3 linked regions of the Astyanax mexicanus genome follow. The protein of the gene in region 3 interacts with the protein of the main gene of each other region in a biochemical or structural test. Links are inferred from orthologs where the notes say so. Each region holds a gene or a part of one and is shown on either strand. Other genes may lie near its edges.

What was found.
Region 1: the proteins of hltf (region 3) and rad18 form a complex in vitro, tested with the Homo sapiens proteins (2 studies listed by BioGRID). The link is inferred for Astyanax mexicanus from reciprocal best matches to the Homo sapiens genes HLTF and RAD18.
Region 2: the proteins of hltf (region 3) and ube2v2 form a complex in vitro, tested with the Homo sapiens proteins (2 studies listed by BioGRID). The link is inferred for Astyanax mexicanus from reciprocal best matches to the Homo sapiens genes HLTF and UBE2V2.

The regions. Positions count from the first base shown.
Region 1 is NC_064412.1:15,607,323-15,618,637, reverse strand, and holds the start of rad18 (E3 ubiquitin-protein ligase RAD18), read left to right. Parts: upstream 1-6,458; 5' UTR 6,459-6,588; coding exon 6,589-6,639; intron 6,640-8,869; coding exon 8,870-8,948; intron 8,949-9,191; coding exon 9,192-9,253; intron 9,254-10,129; coding exon 10,130-10,200; intron 10,201-11,315. UniProt on the Homo sapiens protein: E3 ubiquitin-protein ligase involved in postreplication repair of UV-damaged DNA. Postreplication repair functions in gap-filling of a daughter strand on replication of damaged DNA.
Region 2 is NC_064413.1:397,813-409,019, reverse strand, and holds the start of ube2v2 (ubiquitin-conjugating enzyme E2 variant 2), read left to right. Parts: upstream 1-6,758; 5' UTR 6,759-6,890; coding exon 6,891-6,906; intron 6,907-10,399; coding exon 10,400-10,548; intron 10,549-10,754; coding exon 10,755-10,880; intron 10,881-11,207. Other genes in the region: DNA replication licensing factor MCM4, read left to right, coding at 123-382, 1,026-1,391, 1,734-1,861, 2,323-2,530, 3,470-3,698, 4,550-4,683, 4,854-4,946. UniProt on the Homo sapiens protein: Has no ubiquitin ligase activity on its own. The UBE2V2/UBE2N heterodimer catalyzes the synthesis of non-canonical poly-ubiquitin chains that are linked through 'Lys-63'. This type of poly-ubiquitination does not lead to protein degradation by the proteasome.
Region 3 is NC_064425.1:42,843,884-42,854,967, forward strand, and holds the start of hltf (helicase-like transcription factor), read right to left. Parts: upstream 4,646-11,084; 5' UTR 4,514-4,645; intron 3,072-4,513; 5' UTR 3,065-3,071; coding exon 2,885-3,064; intron 2,452-2,884; coding exon 2,285-2,451; intron 1,797-2,284; coding exon 1,666-1,796; intron 980-1,665; coding exon 894-979; intron 750-893; coding exon 678-749; intron 1-677. Other genes in the region: slc35g2a (solute carrier family 35 member G2a), read right to left, coding at 7,278-8,337, 8,813-9,015. UniProt on the Homo sapiens protein: Has both helicase and E3 ubiquitin ligase activities. Possesses intrinsic ATP-dependent nucleosome-remodeling activity; This activity may be required for transcriptional activation or repression of specific target promoters.

The sequences.
Region 1 (11,315 bases), on a different chromosome or scaffold from region 3:
ATCAGCAGCTACAGACAACAGACCCTCTTTCAATGGTTTGTATTGATTAGGTCATGACCATTTACACTCTTCAGTATCCATCATTTCTCTTTACACTAATTTTTCACAGGCTGGACGGTGGTTTGGAAGCCAAGTGTGTTTTCCATGTGAGCAGATTTTCCATCTCCTCATGTCTCAGCTCCAGTGCAATCACCAGGTCAAATTACAATGGTTTTAGTGGTCTGGACACTTTTTAATAGGTAACATATGCTTTTGCTTTCCCACATATTATTTAAAGCAGCATTATAGGAAAAGTGGAATTGCTTGCTCCTGAGCTTCTCCTACAGTCAGGTAATTTTCACTGTGAGCCACCCCTAACGTTTCCTCTTTATTTACAGAACTGAACATGATTCTGTTCTGTTTTAATGAAATGAGAACATTTCAGTATAAACTTTATCAAACATTTTGCACAATATACTACATCTACTGGTGAGCGATTTGGCCCTAAAATAACATCACCATATTTTATGGTATTTTTGCGATAATGATATTCTTGGCAAAATGACAAAACAATAAAAAATAAAAATATAATTTAAGAATACACTACTGCAGCAAAATGAAAATAAAATGTATTATTGCAAAAATAACGCACTCCAAATATCTCCAAATATCTAGGACTAAAGTAAAATAAATGATACTGCACAGAAATAATCTAATAATGGGAACTGGGAACCGTGTGAATTTTTCTTTTGCTAAAAACAGCAAAAAATTAGTACCCTGGTGTGATAATTAGGGGTGGATGATATGGCATGATCAAAAAGTTTCAAAAAGTTTGGCGTACGATATGATATGGCACACCCCTAGCGTCGTCACATCTGGCTCTGAACAGTAACATTATCGTACGTCTGTCTGCACTGTTTAACAGAGCACTTGTCTTCCACATCTGCATTCAGATGGCGGACGAGTTTTAAAAAAAGCAGAATAAAATAATAACGGCTACTGAGCTTCAATCTGGAGGAGAAAAAAGGTATCATGTTCCTCACTCAGTCAAACATTTTGGTATATTAACATTAAACTACTTATCAACACACTCTGCTGACTGTCCTCACTGATAATAATCTGAATTAATGCTAAATAAATTAATGCTGATCTTGAGTTTAGTGTTTTTAATAACGGTTTTATTTTTTATTTAATTTTAAACTGAACCTGAGCAAACACTGGAAGCAGAGCTTTTCATCTGGAGATGAACAGTTTAATCCTGATGGAACATAAACTCTGGTGAGAGTTTAATTTAATTATCGGTTTATGTAGAAATGGGTAGTAGCCTCAGAGGTGTATTAGAACCGATTAACCCTGCTATTAATGCTTTAAAAGGTCTATTGCTTCATATAAACCCATATATTTTGAAAGCACTTTCTATTTGTGAGCACATTCTAGTATATAATAAACCTGGAACATATTTTTAAGTGGAAGTATTTTCAATTTTCTCTGGTAGTTCACTGTACTGCAACAAAACTGATAAAAGAGGCAGTGGTGTAAATTCTTTAAAATATCCACTATAAGTTTAGTCTTTGTCCTCTCCATAAGGCAGTGGTTGGGTTTCACTTAAAACTGTTGGTTATGATTTCCAGTACTGTCTGTTTCCATAAACTTTTAAAAGACAGACGCTCTGTCTTTATTTGTATGCATATTTAATGCTGAGTATAAATAAGCCTTAAAGGGCAAGCAGTACACAGGCTTTTTACAACCTGACAGATACAGAAACTTACTAAAACTCACTAAAAATAAAAGAAGAAACATGTGAACTAATGTAAAAGAGTAACATTTCTGGATTTTCACCTTAATAAAGTTATGATTTTTATTTCCTATTTATTTCTGCTATTTTAAAGTGAAATGCTATGGCAAAATTATTTTCAGTAACTTACCCATTTAGTTGAATGGAGAAGAAGCTGAAACACAGTCCAGTAGAATGTCTTTGTTGTCTATATCTGCAGCTGAAAGAAAAATGTAGTTACATAATGGCACAGACACCACGACTGCACACTCAACAAAGGATTATTCAAGTGTTCAGAAAAAAAGAACCATTTAAAAATTGTGCCCATTTTTCATAACTCGGATCAATAGCAGTACTTAGGTCAGCGCAACTTCCCTCCACAAAAAAAGTGCGGCTCTGGATTTATGAATAAGGCTGATGAATATGCAAATTGATTTAATTACATTCTTCATAAGCTTTATGGACACTTCTTTATTCGTGGGCACCGTGGGAGCTGCTGCATGAAGGAGATATAGTGACAAAGCTTTGCAGATTTAATGCAGCTTTGCTTTGAGACGAAGGTTATCCAGCGGTCCGTTTTTGACTGATCACCTTGTCCGTATTAAAATGCATCCTGCCTTGTTCAGTGGCTAAAGGCTATTAAAATAAACACTCGACTGGAGGTCTGTTCCACTGACTGATTATATGTACACAGAGTGATCTGTAGTCAGGTCCACTCATTCAAATGCACAGCTGTCAGCTGACTGCAGTCTCACCGGGAAAACAAAATGAACAGAACTGATTTCTTTATGTGATATTTAGCCCGAATCTCACCTCCTGTAAATGTGCACAGAAGCACAGATATATAAATATATATTTGTTTCTTAGATCAGCACATGCACGGAGCAGAGTATGTTCGTTCAAAGGCAGGCAGGGATTTTTAAATCAATTTCACGGATGTTTAAGAAAGAACGCCGCGCGTTCTGCCTTGTTGGCGGTGTGGGAATTGGGGAATGTGAGACTGAATCGTATTCACTGAGCTGTGTTTTAATCACCGAAGCTGTTTAGCCCACATAATCCTTCCAATAGCAGAGACAGTCTTTTTAACTGCTTAAATAACCATATCAATGCAGGACTACTGAAAAAAAAGATCATTATGAGAGACTTATAGAGTTGTGAATGGAAAATTCTATTTCCACATTCATAATGAATACAGCAACTGTCCCATTCATCCCGCAAGTAAAAGAGCAAAACAAAAATTGAGCCACTGCTTGCTGGGGTCCATGCAGCAAATATGGTACATAAACACTTAAAAGTTCACTTTTAAAGTACACTTTATTTCAGGTGAGGCAATGGTTCAATATAGAAGCTAAAATGGTTCTTTAGCTGGTTAAATGGTTCTTCATAAATATGATGAAAACCTTTAGTAGATTAATTATAAATAATATCCTATACACTTTCTATTAAATAGACCACAGAATACACTTAAGATTTTTTTTTATTTGATTTAGTAAAGGTAAGCGATGCTCAGATATGATTTTACAAACCTTTTTACAACCCCATTATTGTGTCTTAGAATGAAACAGTGATTTGCTTTGTGTATTGTTTCCTATTGTTAATGGTGGAATGAAGGGGGGTTTAAAAAAATCACATTCTGAATCTGAACATTTAAGAGTCATTTGAGATCACTGGTTCATTAGTGTAAATTCACAGTAGCATCTTAAATAATCTTAAATAATTTTGGAATTAAAAGGATTCTGTGATGTTCATATAAAATTCATATAAAAAAATAATAATAGGCCATCGAAATCTGAGGCTGGACATCTGAGGCAGTGCCAAATATGGGCATTAGCAGCATGGCACTGGCTACAAAATAATGATACAACTTCAGTGGTCTATGGGTATATAAACACAAAACTAGTTTTTGATTATTCTTATTGCCTGTTTAACATTACTCCAATAGATTACAGCAACCATGTAACATTGCATTACCTAGCATAGCATAGCATACTGTACACAGTCTTCCATTCTAGGGCACCTTTAAACACCAAAACAGCTCCACTAGTGTCACAACTGAAAAAAAAGACCCTTTCAGTACAATACAGATACTCTTTTGCTTGGGAAAATAGGACTACCAAGAAACTGGATGTCTCCACTTGTTCAGAACAAAACAAATCGATGATCATGACAATAAAATTGCCTTCTTTCTGTATTACACTTCCTGTTTATTTAAACTGTATCTAAAAGCTCTGCTTCTCTTTGAGTGTGTTGACAAGTCTTTGCACGAGTTCCTGGTCTGTTATTATCTTGGTTGGCTCACCCTCCTCTCTTTTATCCATGCGTTACATGCAAAATCAGTATCTATTGTTTAACGGATCATTTCTCTTCAATGCCTCGGTTGATTTCTTCCACTCAAAGTCTGTCTAAAACCCCCTTTTTTCTCCAAACAATTTAAAGTCCAGCCCATTTAATTGGAATCACTATTCAAGCGATGTGTCCTGTGTGTTGCACAGTGTACAATGTATACTAATATTTACCAGCATAGAGAGTGTTACAGTGCTTTTAAAGAATAGCTATTATTAAAAGTTTGCCTGCAAGGTCTGTTTGTACAGACAGATATCTAGGCAATCTTAAGAAATCCCTCTGAATCAGTTCAATTCAAGCAGAAGTACAAGTATACAGCAGCCAAGGTCCAGTCTCTGATGTAATGAGTCAAGTAGAGGTTTATAGGCCACCCAAATAATTATTATATCATCATATTAATGCTAGAATAAGTTATAAAACAGTGCCATTATGCTTTAATAATGCTGCAGTTCAGACCTGAAGGCACACAACCTCAATGTCAAACTTTCTTTGGACAATCAAACCAACTTGTGTTGGTGTGAAGGGGACAAATAAACTCATTAACAAATATCACATTTTTACCAGTATAGTGAATGTTTGGTTTTCCATGCTAGTGGTGCAAATGACAGTATTTTAGTAGTTTTTAGAACAGCTGAGAGGATACACTCAAATTTCTGCATAAAAAAAAATAACATTTATTAACAAATAGTATTAAATACTTTGTTACCTAACTTGCATTGGAAATTTGGTTATCTACACTTTACTAGAGTAATTATTTTCATTTCAGACACCTTGATAAGTAAGTTATTATTTTATACATACATACATACATCAGTGGCGTGCAGTGAATATAGTGGGTACCCCTTCTGCAACCACTCCCCATACCCTCCACCCCGCCGCCGGCCGACCGACACATAGATAAATATTACAATAACTTCATATTCTCTCTCTTGGCTTAGCTATATTAACTTAATACATATCATCAGCCCACAAATACAGCTAGAATTGACAAAAGTGTACAACAGACCCAACAATAAATGCTTAATTTGCCTACAAGTACAACCGTTCAACAAAGATCACTCATTTGTATGTCTACAGTACGCCAGGGCAGCCAAAACATTAGGTACACACAAAAACTCACCAGTCTGGCCTATTATTGTGAATTAGTTTCACATTGAAGGGCAACCAAGGCTTTTTAATATGATGTGACACAATATCTGTCTCTTTGCAGCCGCAATTCCATGATAGTTCGCTAAGCCATTTTAAAAAGCTTTGATTGGTTAGAACAGCTGTCAGTCCTGTAGCAACTAAAAAAAAACAGACTAATTATTTGAATTAGTTGCTGCTTTTTTATTTTAGTTAATTTATAAAATAAATTCTTACACTTACAATAGCTAAGATATATATTTCCTGATTAAAAATGATGTAAAACAGATTATAAGCACAACTACAACATACCTGCACATACACACAGACAATCCCTTTGGTGATTATTATGCTTAGGAAACTGCATATGCTTCTCTAAGAGTAAAAAACACAAGAAAACATGGGACATTATTGATACATTTTCAGGCTCACACTACAACCTGAAGATTACAATTGGCGCCAAAACTGCTGCAGCCCAACGCTGGAAACCGAACCGGGCCAGAAATAATTCTATACGCACCAATATCCGCTAAAAATACACAGAGGGGTGACTAAAACTGATATGAAAACAATTATTTCAATTAGCTTGTCAAAAAAGTACATTAATCCTTTTACAACGCTGCTTATTCAGGAAGCTTCACTGCTCTGCTTACCTCCCGCATTTTACGCACCTATACACCACTGGAGCTACGAGTGCTGCAGAGGGACAAATACAAAAGTAAGTGCGGTTGCATTGTTGCATTAAACATACAAAACTACGAAATACATTTTTAAAGCCCATTTATGAACCTTCAACACAACAGTTCTATTTGTTTTGTCCGATTTTAAGCTATTTTTAACTGTAAGAATTTATTACGCAAAGAATATTATTTTATATAATGATTGTCACGTTTCTGTAGTCTTTTTAAATCCTACTAAAATAATACAAAAAAAAAGAAAAAAAAAAGTGGTGGGATTCAAATCAAATTGAAAAGCTTCAAAGTACAAATCAATCACTGCTAGGCTGTATATGTTTATATATGTATGCTTTATGCATTTATTGTCTAGCTAAAATTCCTTTACACTAGAGCCAGTGCAGCAGAATTGGCCCATATCAGACTCACTGCCCGAACCGACTCTAATGAATCAAAGTTGAACCCGACGTATGGTTAAATGAATCGGTTCGCTGAACTGAATCAATGCGAGAGCCGAGTTTGAATCTTCTGCCTCAAAGCATGAATGGAAGTGACGTCGGAGTAGGATGTGCCGGTAAAAGTGCGCGCGGGTTTTTTCTCTGGCCGTGCAGCTCAGCTGTTAGCAGCAGGACTGTGTTTACCTTCAGGAAAGAGCTCAGAAAAACCGACTGATTCATTTTCGCTCGGTTAATCATGTCTAACTCAAATGAGGCGGATTTACCGCCGAACCTGGCGTGCCTGAAAGTAAGTTCTGCTAATAAACGCTTTGATAAGTCACTTATTTTGGCTGTGAAGCCCGCATTAGGTTAGCTGGCTAACGTTAGCTAAGTTAAACTGACAGTGGGATTGTCAGTAAGTTTAGCTACATATAGTGCTGAATTCAGGCTGTGTGATCTGTGTGACCATAGCTGAATTAACTATAAAGACCAGTGGCCAGTGGGATTTATACTTTTGCCAGTATTGAAGACTAGTTAGCTAGCTAGTAAGCTGGGGGTTTATCTGGTTAGCTAGCTAGGTTAGTTGGGTCGGATCTTACGCTGCCCTTTGTTAGCTCCTGTGTGTATCGTTTGTTTATCGTAAGGTTAGCGTTACCTGTCACTTGCCTGATGCTCTGAAGAGACATTTGGCATTAACTTAGCTGCTAATTAGTTAGTTAGCTAGGTTAGCTAATTACGTAGGCTTACTGACACTGCGTCTCGCTAAAGACTCACTAAATCAAAAAACGTTTAAAAATCTACTCTTATTATTTGGCTTTTGAGTGTGATCACGAATAAGGTGGCTTTAGTATTCTGTTTGGATGTGTTGTATTTCCTCTATTAGCATAATGCAGAAAAATGATAAATCCTGCAATTTACATATGGGGTTACACACACGCATACATACACTCTCCCCTATACTCTACTTTTTTCACTAACCCACTATTACCTACGACACTAGTACGGTAACCTCCTTCACTTAACAACAAGGTTGATGTGGTCATTTATGTGTTTATGATCCAATCAGTAGGGGTGGGCGATATGGCTCTAAAATAATATCACAATATTTCATGGTATTTTCACAATATCGATACATTTGGCGATATGACAAAACACTGAATTAGAAAAATTATTTAGAATTTTATTTTTGCATGCAATATGATATGGCTAACTGAGAAAAAGAAAAAAGAATTTTATCAGATTTGTAACAGAAGTCAATGATGCAGAATGTCATGATACTAGTGATGCACTCCTAATATCTCCATATATCCAGGATTAAAGTAAGATAAATGATACTGAAAAGATATAATCTGTCTCTAGTAGATATATAATGGGAAATGAGAACAGTGTGAATTTTTCGTTTGCTAAAAACTACAAAAAAAGTAGTTCTCTGATGTGATAATTAGGGGTGGGTGATATGGCGCGATATTTCAGGGGATAATATCGTTCACGGTATTCAAAATTTTTGGCGCAATTATCACGCACGCTACGATATGGCACACCCCTACCAATCAGCAACAATTATTCCAACCCTGAAGGCCAGACCCCTAACAGGTTGCTGAGGCTATTTATGTTTAGATCAGCAACATTTAACCCAAACCTGAAGAACAGACACCAAACAGCTAGTTTGCTGTGGTCATTTTTGAGTTTATGATCCAATCAGCAACATTTAAACCAAACCTGAAGACAAGACACCGAACAACTAGCTTGATGTGGCTGTTTAGGCTTTGATTGGCAACGTTTTACTCAAATACGAAGATCTGACACGTAACAGCTAGGTTACTGTGGCTGTTTATGATTCGATCAGCAACATTTAATCCAAACCTGAAGATCAGACACCGAACTGCTAACTTAGGTTACTGTGGCTGTTTATGATCCGATCAGCAACATTTAATCCAAACCTGAAGATCAGACACCGAACAGCTAGATTGCTGTGGCCGTTTATGATCAGATCAGCAACATTTAACCCAAACCTGAAGACCGGACACCTAACCGTTAGTTTGCTGTTGCCGTTTACAATCAGATCAGCAACATTTAATCCAAACCTGAAGTCCAGACACCGAACAGCTAGGTTGCTGTGGCTGATTATTTGATCAGCAACATATGACACAAACATGAAATACCTAACCATCCCATCACAAATCACAAAAACACTCATCATCCACTATGCCACAAGCCCTTTATAGGGGTCATCAAGTAGGCACCTCTCTTTATCAGCATTGAGTTTTGGCATCCCAGACTCGCTCCACTCCAAGCTCGCTACAAATAGGACATAACGAGATTTTAAACACAACCTTTACTATTTTGTTTGGACGTGTTGTATTTCATTAGATTTTAATTTTTTATTTTTGGTTTAAATTGCTTTATTGTAAGGCACTATGTGGCTCTGTCTTATAAAAGTGCTTTATAAATAAATTATATTTACCTAGCTCAATGACTTACAGTGATTATATGTAAGCTACCTAGCGTTAACTCGTTTTCATTATTTGCTTTGACAGCCTATAGACACCCTTCTTCGATGTCCCATTTGCTTTGACTTCTTGAACATATCCATGATGTCGCAGTGTTCACATAACTGTAAGTATTTTTTGTTGTTTTTGGTAATATGTATGTTGTATTAAGAGAAGTAACAGTTAACTATGTTTGGAAAAAAAAAAAAACTTTTTATTACGGTACCTAATAAGCTCTTCAGCATTGTCACTGTCATGTGTGCTTTTGCATTCATTCGCCTCATATTATCTTATTGTCACAAAATATGTAGCTAATTAACATCAAAACACATGAGTAAATAATGGATGTTTGTGTTGGGTCTCTTTGCAGTTTGTTCGCTGTGTATACGGAAGTTTTTATCTTACAAATTATTGTGTCCAGTCTGCAACACAGTAAGTCTAACGTTTATTGTGCGTTTTACATCATTGGCTAATGCACGTGTTGTTTGGTAATACACTCATCACTAACTTTAAATATAATGGCAATATTGAACTGTAAGATTTTTTTTTTTAAGTGTGCACTAAAGCTCTACAGGAACACACATGGGATTTTTTTTTGTATACAGAAAGTGTTAAACACACCAGAATATGTTTTAAAATGTAGATTCTTCTAAGTACCACATTTAGCTTTGAGGACAGATTTGCTTACATGAGGGGGGGTCACCTGGAATAGTTTTCTCAGCCTCTTGAAGGAGTTTCTAAAGGTGCTGAACAAAAGTTGCTGCTTTCCTTTACGCTGTGACGCTCCACCCAATCCCAAATCACCCAGGTTCAGGTCAGGGGATTGGGGAGGACAAACACTTATGTTTCCTACATAATTCCATTTGTTTCCCTTAATTGACCTCATTGAAGCTGGCCCCCATATCATCAGAAACAAATTATTTTTTTTCCCATTTGTGCTGGTTTGTGCAGCAAAAATTAGCGTTTGTACTGTAATTAGGTAAAATTATTTAGCACCTGGTTCCGGACCATCTGAACAAATTTCCTCTCTGCTGATGATGATTGTTTGGATCATTTTTTGCTATACTTTTTCATGTAGATAAAATGATAACTAACAGAAATTTAATTGACAATTGAATTTGTGTTTAATTGTGTATGTATGTTTTTTTTATTCTGATTATTTTAAAGATGTATATTGTGCATTAGTTCAGAAATCCTAATATTGTATGACATTCATGTTGATAATGAGTGTATGTAAACTTCTGACCAAACTATATATTGTAAAATATGGATTTTATAATGATGCAATGACATCTACTCTCATTTCAGCCAATGACAGAGCAAGATCTGAGGAATAATCGGATTTTGGATGAAGTTGTCCAAAGTTTTCTGTCTGCAAGGTAACTATGATATTTGTAATAGAAAGAAACAGTAGATATGTAACTTTAGTTGTCATTATGTGAAGAAGTAAAGTCTCAAAAAAGTGTCAGTTCTTGCTTTATAATTTAAATGTGACTATATTAAAAATCTGTGATAAAGTCAGTTGTAAAGTAGTTATTGTATTTAATTAACAATTAAACAATTTAAAATGCTTTTCTTTGCTATTTGGGATATCTTTGTTAGTTTTAATAAATGACTCAGCAATATGTAGTTGAGTGGTTTACTGTAGAGCAGAGGTTACGGAACCATATCCAGAAAGGTCCCTTTTCGTGTCATTCTTTTTAGTAGCCTCGAGATGTTTCAGTGGAGACAGGCTGTTATAAGCAAGCATGATAGATTGATCTGCCAATAAATCCAAAAGGAGACAAAGGTTGTAAAACAAAGGTTATTCTGAGTTTGTGCCGATTGACATAAGCCTTTCAGGAGTCAAAGCAATTTATAGGATCATAGTTTAAATGAAATATTTTATTGAATCCTTTCCTTTTATTTGCTCGATCATGAGTGGCTTAACATTTTCTTCCAGTTGACCTAATATTTTTGTCTGCCATAGAATTGGGAATTTCCTTGTATAAAACACGGGGATTTGGTTTTCATTAAGTGCATCTGTTTCAGTCGTTTTCTTCACCTGCTTCAAGTGTGGTCACAAAGCTTTTAGACATGCTTCATTTCCAGCTTTGCAGAGTCTTACACTGAGACTAAAATTAAGCTCTGTCACAAACCTGTGGATTCACCTTTGTAATAAGAGGACTGTATCATAGATGTCTGGTTATGAAAGGTAATCTAGAAAGCAGAGTCTGCTGAGTAAAAATACCCAGAGTTCTTGGAAAAGGCTATAAAAGGTCCAGATTGTGTGTGATTGGAGAGATCAGTAGCTTTTAATCCACAGCATCATTAGTTTTTGAGTCAGTGTCACTGGCGGTCATCAATCTTCTCAGTGTATTGTCTGGTGGCTGAGGGCATAATTTAGTGGATAGTGGAATAAGAGGAGATGGCCATCGGGCGGCAGAGAGAGGGGGCTTATATGTCTGTGTTGCTCTGAGTTGCTTAATTTCCTGTTGTCTCACATTGGTGATGT
Region 2 (11,207 bases), on a different chromosome or scaffold from region 3:
TTATTTAAATGTAAGTGCGCCTTATAGTGCGGAAAATCCGGAAATTAAATCCAATTTATAGATTGTTAACCTAAAAACTAAGATTCACTCCTTGTTAACCCTTTTTATATATTTTTTAACAGGTATCTACAGAGCAGCACCCATGCGTGTTAACCCTCGGCAGAGTCAGGTGAAATCTGTGTATAAAACTCATATCGATGCGATTCACTTCCGGAAGACGGACGAGCGCCGGCTGCACGGTCTGGACGAGGAGAACGAGCAGAAGCTGTTTACGGAGGAGCGCGTCGCTACGCTTAAAGAACTCGCTGCCAAACCCGACGTTTATGAGCGTCTGTCCTCGGCCCTCGCGCCCAGCATCTACGAACACGAGGATATCAAAAAGGTCCGATTTATTTATTTACTTATTTATGATCAGTAAGGAGGTTATTCGTTTTATGCTTATTAAACAAATAGAATTCAGGATTTAACTTATGAGCAAATTTGAGTAACTCAAGTGAAGGAACTGTTAGACTTTATTTTTCTTATAATAGTGTGCAAAACATTTATTTTGTGCCTAAACACAGTGCAAAACAAAAAGTAGAAACAACAATTGAGCAATATGCCCCTTTGAGCAAAACAAAAATTATGTATTTACTGTTAATTTTAATTTCTGAACAAAATTGAAACTGTAACGTGTTCAACTCCTCTGCCACCACTAGGTGACAGTATAATGGCCTCATATGTGGACACCAGGCCCTTGTAGAGCAAAATTTAGTGTTGTGTGGTCTAGACAACCCAAAATGTGTTGTCCACACATGTGGACGCCAGGTCCTAGGAGGTTAAAAATACCAAGAAGTCAAGCAACAAGAAAAAAAAAAAGAAACATAGTAAAGAAGAAAAATATACGCATTAAGATGATTATTATTCATAATTGTTTTATAATCGCATCGCAGACTCTGAATCTGAATTCCCACCCCTGATAAACACTGGAAATTAAGTTGAACTTTTATTTACTGAATTAAAACGTTGCCTGTTCTGTGTTTTAGGGAATCCTGCTGCAGTTATTCGGCGGCACGCGGAAAGACTTCAGCCAGACGGGTCGAGGAAACTTCAGGGCCGAGGTGAACATCCTGCTGTGCGGAGACCCCGGAACCAGTAAGTCCCAGCTGCTCCAGTACGTGTTTAACCTGGTGCCGCGAGGACAGTACACTTCTGGTAAAGGCTCCAGCGCCGTGGGTCTCACCGCCTACGTGATGAAGGACCCCGAGACTCGGCAGCTGGTGCTGCAGACCGGCGCTCTGGTTCTCAGCGACAACGGAATCTGCTGCATCGACGAGTTCGACAAGATGAGCGACAGCACCCGGTCTGTACTGCACGAGGTCATGGAGCAGCAGACCCTCTCCATCGCCAAGGCAAGACCCCCGTTCCTCAGATCCTGTAGCTCTTTAGGATTATTCGGCGTTCTTTATCGCTCGAGAGCAGGGGGGTTCAACTGGTCCATATAGCTACGTTCACATTACCAGGCTGAAGTGATTTTAGCTTAATATGGCTTTTTTTTTTTTTTTTTTTTTTTTCACTTTTATATCGTTGCTGTCCAATAAAAAAACACTTTGCCAAAACAGCAACTTTACAAGAGAGAGAAAAAACTTGTAAAATTTCAATGGAAGTCAATATAAAAAGAGTTTATTTCAGGTAGAGAAATTGATTGTACTGTTAGTCACATGTTAAATTGTGCTTTATTTAATGTGGTTTAGGCTGGGATCATTTGTCAGCTGAATGCACGGACCTCTATTCTAGCAGCAGCCAATCCGGTGGAGTCTCAGTGGAACCCGAAGAAAACTACAATTGAGAATATTCAGCTCCCCCACACACTGCTCTCCAGGTAATACAGTAGTTTGTTTTGAAGATTGGATTGAGGAATTATACATGAAAAATGTCTTTTATTTTTTTTTTTTTTTTATAATATACTGCTTGCGCATTTTTTAAACTCTGCTATGGATGCACCTTGTTCTGCACATTTTAGAGGACTCCCTACTTTAATACACCTCTTGTAATTCTGAATGGGCATGATTATAATCTGATTAGTTAAATCAGTTGTGTTGGGAGCAGGACAACATCTTTGACTACATTTATATGACAAGCCTTATGGCTCAATTTGATTTGATTCTATTGACAGTAGTGGCATTGTGTATAAAATCTGATGTCTTAATCTAATATATATTTAGTACATGAATTATAAAATGTACTATTTTCTATACTTTTAACTAATTGCATGTCATTTACTTAATGCATAAAAAAAAAACTTGATAAACATTTACCAATACCTCTGTTTCTCTCGTTCAGGTTTGATCTGATCTTCCTGATGCTGGACCCTCAGGACGAGGCGTATGACCGGCGGCTCGCCCACCACCTGGTTGCGCTGTACTACCAGAGCGAGGAGCAGATAGTGGAGGAGTATCTGGACATGGCTGTTCTGAAGGACTACATCGCCTATGCTCGTACCTACATCAACCCAAGACTCAGTGAAGAAGCAAGTCAAGCACTTATTGAGGTATGAACCAAACGAGTCAGCAGTAAATAAAGTCTCCTTTCCTGTTCCTACAGCTAATTTTGAACCGTTTGTTCAGGCCCGTTACAACAAGGCAAGCAAACCAATCACTAATCAAACCAACTAGTTGCTGACAGTAGCAGCCAGCCGGGTTAGTCATTCCTGCAGCCGGCAAAATATGAACATCAGCAATCTCTTCTAAATGCCTTGAAACGTTTTTTAACGTTTTTTTAATATTCTTATTGTCCTAATGAAATAACATCTGATAAAACTTTTTGACAAAAAAAAAAACTCCATCGTACTTTTTATTGTACTTTTACAATTTATATGTAGGCACAAAAATGTGCTGCACTTTAATAGACGTTTTTGGTTTTTATACATTTTACAAGTCTTAAGTTTCTTTTTAAGAAACATTTTAAGTTACATTTGTTGCATACATACACTTTTGAAATGTATTTAAAATTTATTAAATGTGTTGTCATATCACCAAAATATTGTTATTGCAAAAACACTCAAACATCATATATTATTTTAGGGGCATATCACTCAGCCCTACTCAGGATGCACATGGTGTAGGAGAGGTCGCTTAGATGTTTTGGATGCACTACTTTTTGGAATAATTATAGGCTCAGTATAGATACCCAATATGCCATGAAAGCTTAGAATCTCTGCTTTTTAGATATTTAGCCAATTTAGCTGTATTGCCTTTTGGAAAATAAATATATTGGGTAAAAAAATACCTTTTTAGCTAAAGTTTTATTAAAAATTACATTCATAATTGGCATTTGTATGTCCATATTTTATCCAGTGTGGGCATGTTATACATCATTCAAACCGTCTGGTTCTCAGAATTACGAAATTAAATTTAATTGGAGCCAAAAGTGAGAGTTATTTAAAACATGGGAGTTAAGAGGTTAATGCCTGTAACTGTGTTTCCTGCAGGCGTACGTGGACATGAGGAAGATCGGCAGTGGAAGAGGCATGGTGTCTGCTTACCCTCGACAGCTGGAGTCCTTGATCCGTCTGGCTGAAGCCCACGCTAAAGTCCGCTTCTCAGACAAAGTGGAGACCATCGACGTGGAGGAGGCCAAGAGACTCCACAGAGAGGCCCTGAAGCAGTCCGCCACTGATCCCAGAACAGGCTTCGTGGATATTTCCATCCTCACCACAGGTATGTGGTTTTACACTGAGATACAGTGGGAAACTCATGATCTGCACAGTTAATCAGAACATGCTGAGCAATAACAGGGTAAAATAACGAGCAGAGCAGCCCCGATGCAACAAGGCAAGCAAACAAATCAATTGCCTGTAGGGCCCTCAGAAACACTTATCAGAATCCCCCTCAAGGGGGCTCCCAGTAGTTGCTGACAGTAACCAGCCAGCCAGGTTCGTTATTCCTGCAGCCGGCAAAATATGAACCTTCAGCAGTCGTGAAGCAGAGTTATCCATTAGGCAACCATCAGGAAACCGTTTCTCAGGGGGACGTATGTTAAATATTTCACTCTTCTAGTCGGTGATAAAACTCCTGCATCTGGACTGCAATTGAAAAAACAGGAGAATCAGTGAGTTTTTAGGCTTCAATTTTTCAGTTCAGTTCAGTAGCTCCTCCATTTCCACTTGCTGTTGTGTTTTATAACGTGGATCTCCATGGAAACCGTGGCGCACCCAAAGTGTAATTACAGTGCACAGCAGTGGACAAATATCTATTTTATTAAAGGCGAGGAGACGAAACTCAGAGATGTGCGTCCGGACGGGACTAAAATTACCGGAGGAGCACGGAGTTCAGACAAAAACAGTAGATAATTCAGCCTGTAATTTACTCAGAGGACGTCTGAGAAAAACACCTACATGATCGTTCTGGACAGGAATAAAATCACAGAGGATAAAAAAAAAAAAACATAGAGAAAATAACCCAGAACCCCTTGAGAAAGTAATCCCATCCAGATAGGTCTTAGCTGAGAGTTTTCTGTATTAGAATGCTGTTTCGTTAATGTTTTTGTGCATTTCTGTTTTTGTACGTAGGTATGAGCGCCACCGCAAGAAAGCGTAAAGAGGAAGTGGCGCAAGCCCTGAAGAAACTCATCCAGTCGAAGGGCAAGACTCCAGCCATGAAGTACCAGCAGCTGTTCGATGACCTACGTGGCCAATCAGAGGCTGTAAGCATATTCTGCTGTTTTTAATTTCATTATTTCTAAATATTTAACTTAGGATAACTCTAATCTTTACGTGCAGAATGTCAAAATTCTCATGATGAATGACTACAGACTTAGTAAAAAAAAACGTGTTGCACCAGTGTGGTGATGAATACTGATTGATTTCTCTCCAGGCCATCACCAAGGACATGTTTGATGAAGCACTCCGAGCGCTCGCTGATGAGGACTACCTAACAGTCACAGGAAAGACTGTGCGTCTGCTGTAAATATACCCAGAAGTTGGATTAATTAAAGATCTTTACGAACTCTATTGTCTTGAAAACTGATGTATTTTTTTTGTCTTCCTGTTGTGCATTTAATTGTTGATTTTGTATGAAGTCATGTTACTGTTTGCAATAAAAAATGTTGTATTTGCTGTTCATAGCCTTTCGCCTTGTGCGTTCCGTTCCAAAATTAGACAAAGCTAAAGAGGGTTATAGGAGAATTTCTTACTTTTTGTTTTTCTTTTCTCCTTGTATATTTATATTTTTTGTGCAATGTGCAGTTTACACTTTTTCTATAGGCTTGAGTTTAAAAAATGTAAAAAAATATCCTCTGTACCTTTTAAGAGGTTACTGTTAGCAAATGAAGCAGATAGAAGATAGTCTTTGTAAATGAGTATTAGTTTTAATTCTATCTACATTTTTAAAAAATCATTCCATTCTTAAACACTTAGAGAACAGAAGCAATGGAAAAGTTTGCTTTGTAATTGCAGAAAATAGCATTATGCTATTCACATTTTATTGTGCAAATTATAATGTTTGCTTCAGTATATAATGAAAGGTGTGAGCATAAATGTATAGAGGTGATGTGCTGCATATAGAAGGCTAGTACGGTGTTAAAAAGCCAGGAGTTTATTTATGTTGCACCTTTCAAACACAACGATCATTCAAATTGCTTTACAAATTAGAAAATAGTCAAATTTAAAATGATCTAACAAGAATAGAAATAAAAAAGCATAAATAAAACATGATTCAAACATTATTAATGCAATGTATTTAAAATATGTTTTAATTAAAAATACATTTTTTAAAAAGTTCTGTTAAGGGATAGAAAAAGATCCTCTGGTCTGAATAGAGCAAAAGGGTTTTTTGTGAAACTCAACCTTTTAATAGTATGATTTACTCAGTCTTATTAAGGTAAAGTGTTATGTGCTTTGTTTGATTATCTATATATTTACATAACTGTAAAAACTGATGTTTGCAGATAAGGGAACATACTAATACCACACAGTCTCTGTTTTCCCACATCTTTTTATGTTCCATTAAATGAATTAAAACTCATTTGATTCATAAACCAGCACAACTTATTTCACAATAATAAAGCCCTTGATAAGTCTGTTATTAAATATAATGATCTTAAGTATTAAGATCCTCACAATTTACAAATTTACACACATTCATTGGATATAAGTATTTTGTTGTGCTGAAATATTGAAAGAAAAATACTACAGTAGAGTACAGTAGTTAGGTTAAAAAAATACTCCAGTAGATACAGATACAGCATTTTGGCATTAAGCTCAGTAGTACAGAACTTTCTAGTACTATATAGTACTTGTACTATGCATACTTAAGTACAGTAGTGCATATACAGTATTTTGGTATTTAAGTAGAGTAGTACAGGTAAAGTATTTTTGCACTGAAGCTCAGGAGAATATGACTATATAGTACTTATAGTATACTATACTATATATACTTAAGTACAGTCAGGGCCGGTTCTAGAGGGAGGCTGAGGGGGGCGTTGCCTCCCCAGATTTTTTTTATTTGTTTTACTTTTTTCTTTTGAACAATCAACTTTTCTTCATATTTTAATTTAATGATCATATTTGTATTCTCGCTTATTCCTAATTCCACTTTTGAATATTATATTCTCAGCCTTTGTCTAGATACTTTTTTGTGTAATTCTAATTTAACCAAGATGGGTTATTGAAATTAATCACAATTTGAAAATCTTTATTAATTTACATAAGCAGAGTATACGCCTCAAAAAATGATATATGATAGAAAATGACATCTATTGTATCTGTATAACGTCACCTGTAAAACAGCTGGGGGGGGGGTTACCTTGTGCTGTTGCGGGACTGCGCGCGCTCCTCAGTGCAGTGGTGGTGACGTTTTGGTCAAGTGATATGACGTCACGATATCGTGCGCTTCTGGATTTGGCTGGAGAAGATGGCGGCCTCCTCAGGTTTGTCTCACAATATGGGAAACAGGCGCGGGGGTTTGGATGGGTTTGCGGCGGGGCTGCGCTGGGGTAAACGAGGGGAATGTTCTGTACGTGCCCCGGTGTGCTGGGCGCTCCCGGGGCGGCCGGGTTCCCGCTGTTCCTGCTGCTGTACCCGGGTCTCTGAGCGGTGTGGCTCCGGCTGTCTGATACAGTTATCGGAGTGAATGGGAGCGGGGCTGGGAGCTCCGCTCCGGCCGCGGTACGGTTAGCTAGCGTTAGCTGGGCTGATTTTTCGGGGTGTTTTAACCGGCGGTGTCTCTTATCTCTCTTTATCTAGTTTGTGTATGTGTTAAATAATATTCGATAAATATAAAATCAATAAAAACACGCAGGAGAATCAGAGTGCGTAGGGTTTCAGCACGCGGCCCGGACTGCGGTGCTAAACACCGCGCTAAAAACAAGCTATAGAGGCTAGCTAAAGACCTGAGGTAACTTTAGCTTAGCTTAGCCTGCTAGCTGAAATAACGCACATAGCTTAGCTAACAGCTAGCTTAGCTCTGTGTGTTGGGCTGGTAGCAGTCAACACTGTAGGCTAACTACGCTAGCTAGCTAACCACTTAACGTTAACTGAGTAACTGACTGACTGACTTTCTAAACTAACGCGGTGTTTTAGTTTTCTCGATATATTTTATTACGGTATAATGTTACAGCGCTAATGTTTTCTGGCTCTTCATTTCACCCCGCGCCTCTGCAGCCCCGACAAACCGGAGAAGCAGGTTAAACAGTGGGGCTAACTTTAGCTAGCGTTAACTCCTGACTGGGGAATTCTCGTTAGCCTGATGGCTAATCAGCTAACCTGTGAGGAAATTTGAGGGCCAGAATAGATTAATAGGATAAAAATCCGCGCAATATAAAATAGTTCCATTTTCCGGAGCAACACACGTTTTATTTTTGTTATAGCTAGGTTAGTTAAGTAAATAGAAAAACAATAACTTACCTCAATACCTGCTGCACTCAACATGCGAGTAATACAACGTATAGTTAATATATAATGTTTTTTTAAGTACAAAACATTTATAATAAATTATACTAGCGCATCTCAAACAATAAGACTATTATTGTAAAGTTAATTTATTTCTGTAATTCAGTTTAAAATGTCTCTCTTATATTGTATAGGCGTATTACATGAAGACCCCAAAATCTGTCTCAGAAAATTAGAATATTATATAAGATAAATTGGTACTTTTGGCAGTATGGGCAGTGTGCCAAGTCCTGCTGGAAAATGAAATCCGCATCTCTTTAAAAGTTGTCAGCAGAGGGAAGCATTTAGTGCTGTAAGATTTTGTGGGGAGGGGAAACAAAACTGCACTGACTTGATAATAAAACACAGTGGACCAACACCAGCTGATGACATGGCTCTCCATGTTTTGTTAAACTTGCCCTATAATTTATTAAGAATGTAATCATGATAAGAATAAAGACGTTAATTACATGTTCCATGAACTGCAGTAAAGATGCATGGTGCAAAAAAAGTTTAAGTTTCAGCATTGTTGGAACATGGTTCCAGTGTTTGACAGCGCACTAGGCATTAGTTTGCAGCTCACTCAGAAAGGCTGGGAAGGGCACTTTCCATTCAAACTGACTGTTTTAACAGATACTAAAACCAGAGCGATTGCATTCCAGACATGTTTTAAAATGAGTAATCTGATCTAAGATTTAAGCTATACCAAGCATTCACTAGAAGGTTTTAAAAGTCTTGACATATGCATAGTGAGTCTGCTATTTAATGAATCGGCTCTTTGACACTATTTTTAGTTACTAAAGAAATCTAGGATTAATTTTTTTAATGCTAAAACCAGCTACAAGGAAACAAACAGATACAAAAAAGGTGATTTATAATGTTGTGGCTGACCAGGACCAGTGTAATATATTTACAAAGCTTGTGTTATTGTTGTAGCTGATCCGTGTTTAATGCGTATAAATAAAGTATGTAATGTATTGTAATGTATCAGGGAAGTGATACTTTTTAATTGAGAATATTGTTTTGAGTTAATTGGGAGATTTAATGGAGGAAATAAACTAAAGACAGTGTATGTGCAAGAGAGAGTCTTCAGAACAGCGATGCTGTTTCGACAGTTTGGAGAAAAATGAAGCGTGGAGGAAAGTAGGGGATGGCTCCATATGTAGCTTTATCATTGTGGATAAACAACGCGACAGCTCAAACACCCACGATCAACAAACAAATGTGGGACAGAACGAGGGAAATGCGAGATCATACGATATATTCACTTTAGAACATGGTAAAAACGTGCACCTGTTTTTCAGAATGCGTACATGTTGGCAGGTCTGAATCAATTTTTAGAATTTGTGAATCGATTCAGAATCGACCATGTCTGAATCGAGATAAATCCAAGAATCAACAATTCCTCCCACCCCTAGTCATTACTCTGCAATCTGCCAGTCATCATCTGCACACAGTCATCAGCAACCAGAGGAGTCTGTTCAGTGTCCGACTTCTCCTTCACAAATGCAGAAACAACAGATTTAAAAACTCCTTTCTCCCTCAAACCATCAGACTGTACAAGGAGGGTTGACAGAGGATGGGATGGAGCAGTAGAGTGAAAATAAAATAAACCAGATTATGTGCAACAGTATTAAACAATGCAATAATTACATGCAATACCTCATCTGCTGGATTTTCTTTTAGGCTTTTAATGTTGCTCCTTTTTATATTTATTTATTTTCTCCCCTCTATTATTTGGAACCCTCCCAAAGAGCTCTATCTCTCTGTCCTGTCCATACATCTCTGTCAAGCTCCTAGTGTTTGAGGCATTACTATTGATTAGTGTGGTCCAGATGAGTTGGAGTAATTGACCTATGATTTCTGTTATTCTCCTGCAGCTTTATACAGTTAATCTCACCAGTTCAGCAGGTATTTTATTTAATTTTACAAACATGGCAAAGACTAAAATGCTCCTACTCATGAGTATGAGTATACAAAAGATTTGCACCACATGTAAGGTATTTGCAAAAACATGTGCCACACGCTTAAACACATCAGGTCTTCTCTTAAGCTTGTAGTTCTTCGCTAGTTTTGTGGATCTTGTCTGCTTTTGCAATATTTAGCTATTCATCCTGATTCAGAAACTATAGTGAATTAGTTGGTAACTGGTTTGGTTAGTACATCTTGTGGAGTCCCACAGGGTTCTACAGTAAGTAACACTAAATACAGTAAAATATTATGATATAAAAACTATAATATGTACTTAATATTTTAGTTCATACAGCAGATTATTTGCCATACAACTGTGCGGCGCTTCATGTACCACAGTTTGAGAACCATTTCTATAGGATACTGACTTATTGCATAAATTTGCAACGATTTCAGCAACATACAACTTTTCCACCAGTACAGAGGATTCACTGCCCATTATAAACATCTTTAATATTCAGTTAATTATATGGATAATTATCAGTGTTATTGCAGTGTTTGTTGCTTGTTTTTATTGTATAGGAGTTAAAGTTCCACGCAATTTTCGTTTGTTGGAGGAGCTGGAAGAGGGACAGAAGGGTGTTGGTGATGGCACAGTAAGCTGGGGTCTGGAAGATGATGAGGACATGACTTTAACACGGTGGACAGGAATGATCATTGGACCTGCGCGAGTAAGACTTGACTTTGTAAACTTGAGAAAATTGTCCATTTGAGTTTTTATTAATCAATGCACTAAAGTTATTTGCTTTAATTCTGTGATTATGGACCAGAAAAACACCATTAGCAATGTTTTGCTATGTTAAGATTATCACAATCTCTATTGCACAATTATCAATGGTTTTCCATGCTTTAAATTGTTTTCATGTTTGTTTTTCAGACTAATTATGAAAACAGGATATACAGCCTGAAAGTGGAGTGTGGACCTAAATATCCTGAATTACCACCAACTGTTAGATTTGTAACAAAAATTAGCATGAATGGAATAAATAATTCCAATGGGATGGTGAGTACTCTTCAGATTATATTTACAGCTCTGGAAAAAAATGAGAACACTTAATTATGAATTTCTTTCATTTTACCCAATTGAAAACCTATAATTAAGAGAAAGATGGATGATCACAAGCCATCAAACCACCAAACTGAACTGCTTGAATATTTGCAAAAAGATGCAGAGCTTTCAGACCTCAAATAATGCAAAGAAAACAAGTTAATATTCATGAAGTTTTAAGAGTCAGAAATCAATATTTGGGGGAATAATCCTGGTTTTTAATCACAGTTTTTTTTATGCATCTTGGCATCATGTTCTCCTCCACCAGTCTTACACACTGCT
Region 3 (11,084 bases):
AGAATGGTAGAGTGAGGCAGAGTGAGATACAGTGAGGTAGAGTGAGATATGGGAAGGTAGAGCATGGTAGAGTGAGGCAGAGTGAGGAGGAGTGAGATACAGTGAGGTAGAGTGATGTAAAGAGAAATAGAGTTAGCTACAGTGAGGTAGAGCATGGTAGAGTGAGGCGGAGTGAGATACAGTGAAGTAGAGTGAGATATGGTGAGGTAGAGCATGGTAGAGTGAGGCAGAGTGAGATACAGTGAAGTAGAGTGAGATATGGGAAGGTAGAGCATGGTAGAGTGAGGCAGAGTGAGATACAGTGAAGTAGAGTGAGATATGGGAAGGTAGAGCATGGTAGAGTGAGGCAGAGTGAGGTAGAGTGAGATACAGTGAGGTAGAGTGATGTAAAGAGAAATAGAGTTAGCTACAGTGAGGTAGAGCATGGTAGAGTGAGGCGGAGTGAGATACAGTGAAGTAGAGTGAGATATGGTGAGGTAGAGCATGGTAGAGTGAGGCAGAGTGAGATACAGTGAGGTAGAGTGATGTAAAGAGTGAGATATAGTGAGGTAGAGTGATGTAAAGAGTGAGATACAGTGAGGTAGAGTGAGATACAGTGAGGTAGTGATGTAAAGAGTGAGATACAGTGAGGTAGTGATGTAAAGAGTGAGATACAGTGAGGTAAAAAAGGCGTTTACCTCTGCGGCCTCCATCTCTCGGGTTCTGTCCTCCAACAAGTCATCAAACAGCTTATCAAATGCATTCTTCAGCTGTTAAAAAGAGGAAGCACTCCATTACACATTCATGAGTTTAGCCCCATCAATTAATCAGTCTACAGCTAGATAGATAGTTTATTGATTCCCAAGGGGAAATTCTAGAAATTCTAGCTGCTTAGCCCCGCCCATTCATGTTACCTCCTCCTGTGTTAAAATCACAGGGCAAATCTCTGAGGATGATCCAGCCCCTCCATAGCGATCCCAGGATGCCGCCGATGAGCTCCCTATAAAACACAGTTCCCATGAGTTTCCCCAAAGTATTGGATCACTTGCTTATTCATTGCTTCTTCAAAAAATTAATGTATTTAAAAAGATTTTAGTAGAAAATGAGAGTGAGCGTGTGAAATAGCTACAGCAGTCCGATTTTAAAACACCACAGACAGTTGTCTGCCCCACCCACCCTTCCCCAGACGCGAAGCTCACTCGGGTTGCCAAGTTGAGAAGGCTAAATCTACACAATCCAGCGCAAGACGAGTTCGATAATTTCTACCATGGCAAGCAAACGATGAGTCATACTTTGTAAGTTATTCAGCTAATGAATATGTTTGCGGTGTTTTTATTGTTTTATTGTTTGTTCATGTGAACTTTGTCCGTAGTTAGCTAACCTAGCTTTATGCACCGCTAGCTGCGTTAGCCTAAGGTTGACATAAGGCATGGTGCTAATAGGCTCATGTTTGTTTATCTGTGTGTGTGTGTGCATCTGCACATCTGTGCGTAAAATGGGTGCAACTTAATTATAGCTGAATGCAGCATTCATTAGAAGTCTAGAACAAACATTTAGACATATAGTGCAGCTTAAATATATTAATAGAGCCTACAGGTGGTAAATCCAGGTACGGAAGTTAAAAATCTGTCCCAGATGTTTTCCAGATTTCTATCTAATAGAGGAGCTGAGGTGGGCTGAGCTTACCTTTCACAGCGTTGAGTTTGTATCCGTGATTTTTCATCTGAGAGTGTACCGCCTCCTGGTTCTCCTCTCTACCCCAGAATGTTAGGGTTACAGTCATGGTGAATGAATTTGTCTTTCCATAAGGAACCACCCTGAGAAAACAACAGCAGAGCTGAGAACCACAGCTTTATGCCCTCATTATTAAACTGAACCTTAACTTCTCAACAAAAGCATGTGCAGCATGAATAAGCACTTTCTCTTCTCTCTTACTTTCTCTGTCTGTTAATTATTTTTATTTATTTTATTTTTATTTATTTATTTAGGCAAACAAAAAAGGCAACAGGTTGACTTGACGCACTTGTCAGTCAATGCAATCAAATACTCACAGATACTCTGTTTTACTAAAATCTAATAGAAAGCCTTCTCTGGACAGTAAAGACAGTTCCTCCAACAAAAGCAAGATAAACTCTTTTTAAACCCTTGATTTCACAAGAAACCGTGAATGAACACTTTTTTCAATACTTTTCCCCATATTTTGCAATGTGTTTAATCCCCACAAGGGGATGCTTTCTTGCTGAAGATGCTTATAAATGGGTCAGTACCGTGTAGCAGAATGGCAATGATCTAAACAATGTCCTACCCTTCCACTCGGGCCAGATTACGGTCCATTATGAAGGCCAGCGCCGCTGCCAGCTCCTTTTTTATGTGTCCCACCTGACTGCCATACACGTTAGCCACCATCACCGCGTTCCGATCGTACGGGTTCTGCGGTTGCCTCACCAGAGCCACCATCTCACCTCTATTCACCTGCAGAACAGAAGTTATGAATCAAGCATACCCACCTACTCTACAGAACTGGAGCTATAAATATAATATAGCTTACAAACAATAGCAGCTCATACCACAGTTAGCGCTGTAGCTAAAAATAAGCTAATATAGTAAATATTTTAGGCTATGGAAGCTAATGCGCCAACAATTAGCACTGGAGCTAACTGCATGTCCAAATAAAGAGATGTTCAGTAATCTCTAATAGACTTGATTATGTATCTATAAACATGGCTTTGCTAAACCAAAATAAATAATAACAATACAATTAACTTTAAAGTATTGCTTTGAAGTGAAACAATACAAAGTAATAATGATTAAAAAATATATATGTTAACTATTATTATTATTATTATTATTATTATTTGTTTATTATATATTTTTTTTTTATCAGTGTACGTATGATGGCTCATACCGTTCCGGTGTAGTACCTCAGACCCACTATGGTTCCCTGAAAGGTTCCAAAGCACCGGTTCTCCTCCTCCGCGTCCTGATCATGGGTGGACTCAGAGGTGGAGCTGCTCTGGGAGGGCTCCTCCTCCTGCAGATCAGAGTGAGACACACCCCCAAACCTCCTACTCCCCAAACCACGCATGCTGGAGCTGAGAACACAACACAGAACCCACACAAACAAAACATAAAGATGCTGACAATGCACAAAACCCACACTACTCAAGGTTTTAAAGAGTGCCATAGTGGCTGCCCTTCTTTGAGGAAAATAAAAAGTGATTCAGTGCTTGCTATGGTGCACCATGCAATATTATGCAATTATTATGATGTGCCTCTAGTTCAATAAATGGTAATAATGTGTTTTATGCCATCACTGTGTCACATACACATACCATTATTAAACTATTTGTCAACAACTATTTTGAACCCTGGCCAGCACAGAAACACACACACACACCCTATATGAATTTAGCGCACAACTGAAAAATTATTTATTCATTGCTGTTGCCAACTATTATTGTAGTAGTGCACAGATAGTTTATTAAAAACACTGTTTATACACACAGTGTAATCAGCTCTCCCTCCTGTCCGCCCCTAAACCCATACATCACCCAGTGCCCCTCCCAAACTACTCCTCCCATTTTTTGAGCCCTTTTATGGGAATTACATAGTAAACAAAAAGTATTTGTCCTCCACATTAATCCCCTGATCTAAACCTGATGAACTAAGATGAACTGAGATGGTGATTTGAGGTGATTTGGGATGAGCTGAAGCTTCACAGCATGAAGGAAAAGCAGAAACTATTGTTCAGCACATCCAGGAACTCCTTCCTTCAAGAAACTGAGAAAGCTATTCCAAGTGACTCTTTCTCATGAAGACACTGAGATTAAAATACTAAAAGTGTGCAGATCTGTCCTCAAAGATAAATGTGCAACTTATTTAGAAGAATCTAAAGTATAAAACATATTCTGTTTTGTTTAACAATTTTTTATTTACAGAAAAAGTCTGAATATTATCCAGTATAGCTTTAATATAGTCTTTAATTGTTAAATGTACAATGTAAAAAAAACAAAAAAAAACAAAAAGAAAACACATTAATTGAGAAGAGGTGTGTCAAAACTTTTGTAATACTGGTTCTGTATATGTACAGTATATATCGTTTTATTCTAATTTTATAGCTGGCAGTTTACAGTTGCAGTGTAAAAAAAAGACATTTAAATGATAATAATAGTTTATTAGCTAGATTAACGTTAATTGTGGGGAGCACCTTTCTCTTAACAACATTGACCTGCTGTTAGTGTAGTTTCAGAGCTCCAGCCATTTAAAACATTTAAATAAACTTTTATTCAATGTTAGAGTTTTAACAATAAGCGACTTTAATAACACTAATGTTAAATTATAAGTTATAAGTTAGTTTTTAAGTTTGTTTTTTCTTTGTCAACATAAAAAGATGTATGTTAAGTTAGCTAATGCGACCAAAACATTACCCTCACGTTTATTTAACGTTCTCTTGTGTCAGGATGCTACACTCACGCGCACGGGCGCTGTATTTACTAAGTAACTAGAACAGGTGTACGCGTGCCCGCGCACTCACCTGTCCGGCAGGTTTACCTGCAGCTCGGCCGGGTCGCTCCGGACTCCGATTACCGTTGGTTACTTCTGGTTCCTGTTGTCAGGTTTTTAGCGCGCGCGGAGTTGCTCTGCAGTTGATCTGCAGCGGGGCGCGCGCTGTGTGGTGGTGCGAGTGTGTGAGCGCGTGCAGCGCCCCCTGCTGGTCGGAGCGGCGGTGCATTTAGAGTGTGTTAGTGCACCAGAGGGCTCCCCCCTCACTGACTACAAAACGAATAGGTTTAAATGGGGCAATTAAAAAGCCAATAAACCCTAAACCATATTGTTTTCCATTAATAGTTGAAATGTGTTCATTTGAAAAAAAAATGAAACATACCAGTCCTGCTTAAAAAAAAATTAAAACATTTTCTTACCTTTAAACAACGCTTTTATTACGGTCATTTTCGCTTCTGAATCGCCCCCTCAGGTTCAACTGTGCTATAGGCGTGGATGATGATTCCATGTATTTTGGTATGCAGACACATCACAATAGGCAAATTAATGAATCAATATTACCGCCCCCCCTGCTGACGTCCAACCATCTGCGTCTCACCGCCATCAGAAGTGCAGCTCAGCAAATCAGCTCCTCCTCCTGCCCAGCCTCTAAACCCATACATCACCCAGTGCCTCTCCCAAACTTTGCCCATTTTTTGTCCTTTTTTAAATCAGAGGTTTAGTGCCCCTTTAAGTTTATGAATGTTTAATCCTTTTTACACTTAAAACTTTACTCATTTCCTTAACACAGAACAAGTAGGTTTTATCATTGTAGACATAATTTTAAAAGCTTTTAAACTCCAGTTATAAAACTTTTAAACTCACCAACCAGTCAGCAGATATATATAAAACACTAGAGACCCTGATTTAAATAAAAGTAAAATGAATTAAGCTGCACACTTAAGTGGGAGTACTAAAGTATTTAACATTTAACAAACCGTGTGCCAGTGTGCCAGTGTAGATCATCTTCTACTCTGGCTTCAGTGAAAATGTGGGTTTGGAATGATTCCTAACATTTTTATAATTGTAACGAGTAACAATGCAGCACTCAGTGGGCATCCTCTAGGGTTAATTTTAGTGGTCACTGTTTTTTTCTTCTAATTTTGTACTCTGTAATTTTGTTTTAAATAGGAAATCTCCACATTTCTGAATGTCTGTCTAAAATTCAGAATGTTTTATAGAGACAGTTGAAAATGTAGCACACAGGAACTGATGTAACTTTAATTTTAACTTTAACTTTTAATTTAATTTAATTTTCTTTAATTTAATCAAACACAAATATATAGAATATTATTTTATTATTGTTTTATTCTTAAAATAACAAACACACATACACTTTAGCAACAACCACCAGCAGGGGGCGCCCTCACCCCACTGCACACACACTGCCACCACCTGTGCTGGAGTTCTGAATGGGTTCTGGACCAGGAGGCGGAGTTTCTGATAGATCACCTGTTTATTCTGTACAATTAAGATTTCTCAATGACACTTAGTGGTTAATGATCATGAACAAGTAAACAAGGGTCACTGACGGGTCAGCGGAACAGTGGGTCAGGTGATTGAGATCTGAACACTTTTTTTACAGAGTTTCAAAAAAACTATTCAGAACAATTAATACAACTGAAATCAATAATCAATAAACAATCATCAAATAAAGTAATTAGGATTCATTTAAAATTGAATTACACAAAACACTAGATAAACACAATGGTACACAAACTACCACTAAACTACACCGACTACCCCCCCACCCCACCCCACACCCCCCCACACCCTCCATAAACCCTACTAGAGCTGGATCGGATTACCCTTAATCAGACATTTCATCCAGTATGAATCTGCTGTGTGCAATTATACTACTAACTGTAATGTAATTTTAATCCAGTATTTATTCTTTCGATTTTAATCCATTTAATCCTGCAGTGTGTAGTTATAATGCAAATAATAGTAATAATCATAAACTGACTTTAATCCAGTATGAATCTTTGGTGTGAATTTTTACTACTAACTGTAAACCAATTTCGATCCTTTATGAATCTGCAGTGCTTATTCTTTCAGTTATAAATGAAAACTCATTTTAATTCCATATGAATCTGCAGTGTGAAGTTTCAGTAAAATTCTAAACCAATTTTAATCCAGTATGAATCAGAAGTGTGTAGTTTCAGCAATACTTGTAAACTAATTTTAATTCAGTACGAATTCTGACAATAACTGTAATCTGTTATTAATCTAGTATGATTCAGCAGTGTGTAGTTTAAGTAATAACTGTAAACTGATTTAAATCTAGTATGAATATGTTGAGTGTAGTTTACCTGTTAAAAACAGATTTAATCCAGTATAAATCTGTAGTGTAGTTTAACTATGGAAAACTTATTTAATCCAGTATGAATCTGTAGTGTAGTTTAACTATGTAAAACTGATTCAATCCAGTATGAATCTGTAGTGTAGTTTAACTACGGAAAACTGATTTTATCCAGTATGAAGCTTCAGTGTGTAGTTTACCTATGACAAAAAAAATAATTCAGTATGAATCTGTAGTGTGCAGTTAACCAACAGAAAACTGATTTATTTAGTATAAATCTGTAGTGTAGTTTAACTATAGAAAATTAAATTAATCCAGTATGAATCTGTAGTGTGTAGTTTGTACAATCCGACACTAATAACCCGGTATGAATCTAATCCAGCTCTAATTGGGCTTTGGTCTTTAGTTTACAACTTGGCATTTAGACAAAGTGAAAATAAATAATTGAACTCAATTATTTAATTGGCGAATCGAGGATCTCCTCGTACTCCTGCCTCCGACTCTTCCCCACCCAGAACAGCTTCACTGCCGCCAGCGCAACAACGCTTATGATGATGACGAGGCCTCCGACCATGTCGTAGACGGACGGCACCATGTGCAGGACAAGCAGCTGCAGCAGAGCGGCCACCACAATCTCCAGGTGCTGGACGGTGCTGACCAGAGCAGGGTGCAGGCGGTTCAGGGCGTAGTACACCCCGAGGAACGCCACGGTGGAGCAGAGACAGATGCTGATGAGGTACGCCCAGGTCTCCCCATCCAGAGGGATGATGGGCTCCTGCAGGACGAACATGGTGCAGGCGCCCCACAGCGTCCCCGTCCAGCCGAAAGTGAACAGAGCCGTCCACATGCTCACCTTCTCCTTAATTGACCTGTAGACGATCATAGACAGAGCGGCGGTCAGGCCTGCCATGACCGTCATGGTGTACCCGAACGCCTCCTTCCAGAACCCGAGCGACCGGTCCTCGCTCACGATGTTGGGCACCATGACCAGGCAGAGTCCGAACACGCTGCTGACCACGGTGACCATGTCCACTGCACCCAGACGCTCATCCGTGAGCAGGAACGCTAGCACGGCACTGAACACCGTGGTGGTGGCACGCCACATGATGGTGCCGTTGCTCGGCGGTACGATGGCAAAGGAGGTGTAGGCGCAGGAAATGGAAATGACGTTACACACGCCGTAGAAGAAGAGCCGCACCCGGTAGCCACTGGGCCCGAACGGCTCCTCCTGGTGGTAGAAGACCACGGCGACGGACAGCACCTGCAGGACCGAGCGGATGAAGAGCAGCTCCAGCGAGGGAACCCTAGAGCGGTCAGCGGCCAGGCGGGTCAGCAGTGCCACGCAGCCGTGCGCCAACGCCGCCACGAACAGTGCCCCCCACGTTAGCCTCGAGGAGAACACACACGCCTCCCCGAAACTCTGCAGCTGACCTCCGACCCCACTGCTGACCTTCTGATCCCCACCGGGTTTGGGCTGACCGTCCACAGAGCCAAAAAACGTCCGGCCCAGTTTACTGTGGATAAAAGTAACAATAATAACTATATTAACAACAATAATAACAATAACCATAATAACAGTAATAATGACAGCAATAATAGTAATAATATTATTAGTAACAGCAGTAACAACAACGTTAATAGTAATTCTACTAATAGTAATAACAATAGTGATACAATAATACAAACTACAATAAAAGCAGTCCAATTTGCAATTTAACAATACATTAATGTATCCAAACTTATGATAACTATTAAGTTAACAATAAATTATATCATATATGTAAAATTAGCTCCACCCCTATAACCTATAACGGTTAAAAACTGTTGTACCTGTGTAGTTATCTGATAAAAGCAGTAGTTACTGACTATATTGGCAATAATAAAAGCTATGGTGTAAAACTGTGCTGTCGTGAACCAAAGAAACAGTGTTTCAGTTTACCACACAGTAATTAAACTCCACCCCAGTTTGTGGGCGTGGCGTGTACACACCTCTGAGGTCCAGTAGAGGTCAGCCTCTTCCGGTCGGAGGTCTCTTCTACAAAGGAGCCGAAATCTTCGAAGCTCGGGGCGTCATCGTATCCCTCTTCTCCAGGCTGCGGGAAGTGGGTGGCATATTTCACCGTCACCGTGTTGGGGTGGATCTTCACCTTCTTCTTCGGGCCGAGCAGGTGTTTACTCGGAGAGTCGTCCATGTCTCTTCCTCCGGCTCTGAGAGCTGAGAGAACACACAGAACCGAACAGAACCATCAGAACCTTATCACTGTCTATATATCTACAAGTATTCAGACATGTAGAAAGCACTAGAGGCTTTCTAGACTTGAGTAAAGTACTATATCAAAAAAGTGACTCTTTTAGTGTCCTATCCTATTAATATATCAATCTTATATCCTAATATATATATAAGTGCACCAGAGAAAAGGGCGTGTCTAAGACATACAGTTGCATTATGTCAGAAGAAAGTGTGCAGGGTAGGAGGCGTGGCCAAAGCAAATAGTTTTAGCATATTAAAATACGGTAGGCGTGATGGTGGGCGTGATTTAGGGAAATCAGCACCATATCACTATAAAGTGGGTGGGGAAAGAGGCTGGGATTTTCTCATATTGTCCATCATCTCAGAATAAAGCACTCAGAAAAGGGGGCGTGGCTAAGGTATAAAATTGCATTGTGTCAGAACAAAGTACCCCAAGTGAGAGGCGTGGCTAAAGCTAACAGTTGCATTATATTAGAATAAAGCATTTAAGGTGACAGGAGTGTCTAAGACAGACAGCCTTACTACATCACAATACAATACTCAGAGAAAGGGGCGTGACTATACTACATACCTACATTATATCAAAATTAAAAACACAGAGAAAGGGGTGTGGCTAAGGCATAAAGATATATCAGAATCAGAATAAAGTATGCAAGGTGAGAGGCGTGGCTAAGCCCGACAGCTGCATCATATCAGATTTAAGCACTCAGAGAAAGGGGCGTGACTATAGCACATACCTGCATTATATCAGAAATAAAAACACAGATAATGGGGCGTGGCTAAGACAGACAGCTGCATTACATCAGCATAAAGTATTTAGATAAAGAGGCGTGGCTAAGACAGATAGCCTCATTACATCAGAATACAGTACTCAGAGAAAGGGGCGTGACTGTAGCACATACCTACCTGTATTATATCAGAATTAAAAAATACAGACAAAGGGGCGTGGCTAAGACAGACAGCTGCATTATATCAGAATAAAGTACTCAACTAAAGGGGTGTTGATAATGCAGATAGCTGCATTATATCAAAATAATGTATCTATATAAAGAGGCGTGGCTAAGGCAGATAGTTACATCACGTCAGAACAAATTATGAGACGAGGGGCGGGGCTTACGCAGACATTTGATATTATGCAGATCTTTGACATCCTATCCTGTGGCCTGTAGTGAAGTTTGCAGGAAAAGGGGGAGGAGCTAATACCACTCCATTCATCATCTTCAGTGATTCATCCCGGGTGATTCACGGACGCCCGTGACGCCAAACACTGTGGCGTACGGCCACGTGACCACCACGTCTCTGAGCCGCGAGAACAGGTGAGGACACTCACGGCTGGCTGGTTGCCCCTCGCGATGGATGGAGCAGGTAGTGGGCACGCGCTGTTCTATAGCAGTATTAACAGTGATGACGTAGATATGCCCTTCAAAGAGCAGCTCTGCTGTCAATTAACGACTCGCGACTGTGATTTAATTAGTGGCTAATTGCCCATCAGGTGGATGAACCCGCCTTTGATCTGAGATAGAGTTGCTATGGCAACCGTAAACAGGTAAGTAAACAAGTAAACTAACGCTTAAACACGAAAAAGAAATGAAACAAAGCTGTAATTGTCGTATCCTTCTAGAATTGTTCGTTCCACCTTAAATGGTGCGGCAGTTACACTCTGGCGCCTCGACGCCAGAGTGTAACTGCAGCACCATTTAAGGTGGAACGGACAATTCCAAGCAAAAGCCAACTTAAGCCCAATAAAAGGTGGGCTCACGCTCACTCCCGCATACACTCTCCTCTCTCACCTGACACTCCGATCACTCCGGGCTCGCGCTGTGTCTCACTCTCCCATCTTCATTTCTTTGATGTCTCGGGTTATTAACACTCCCATCCTGATGCTGCTTCTGCTGCCGTACTGCACACACCACCACCCCAGCCCCTGATCACACCAGCAAATGAAGGAGTGAGCGAGAGTGAGAGAGAGAGGGGGGGCAGAAGATGCTCTGCGCATGTGCAGACGCGCAG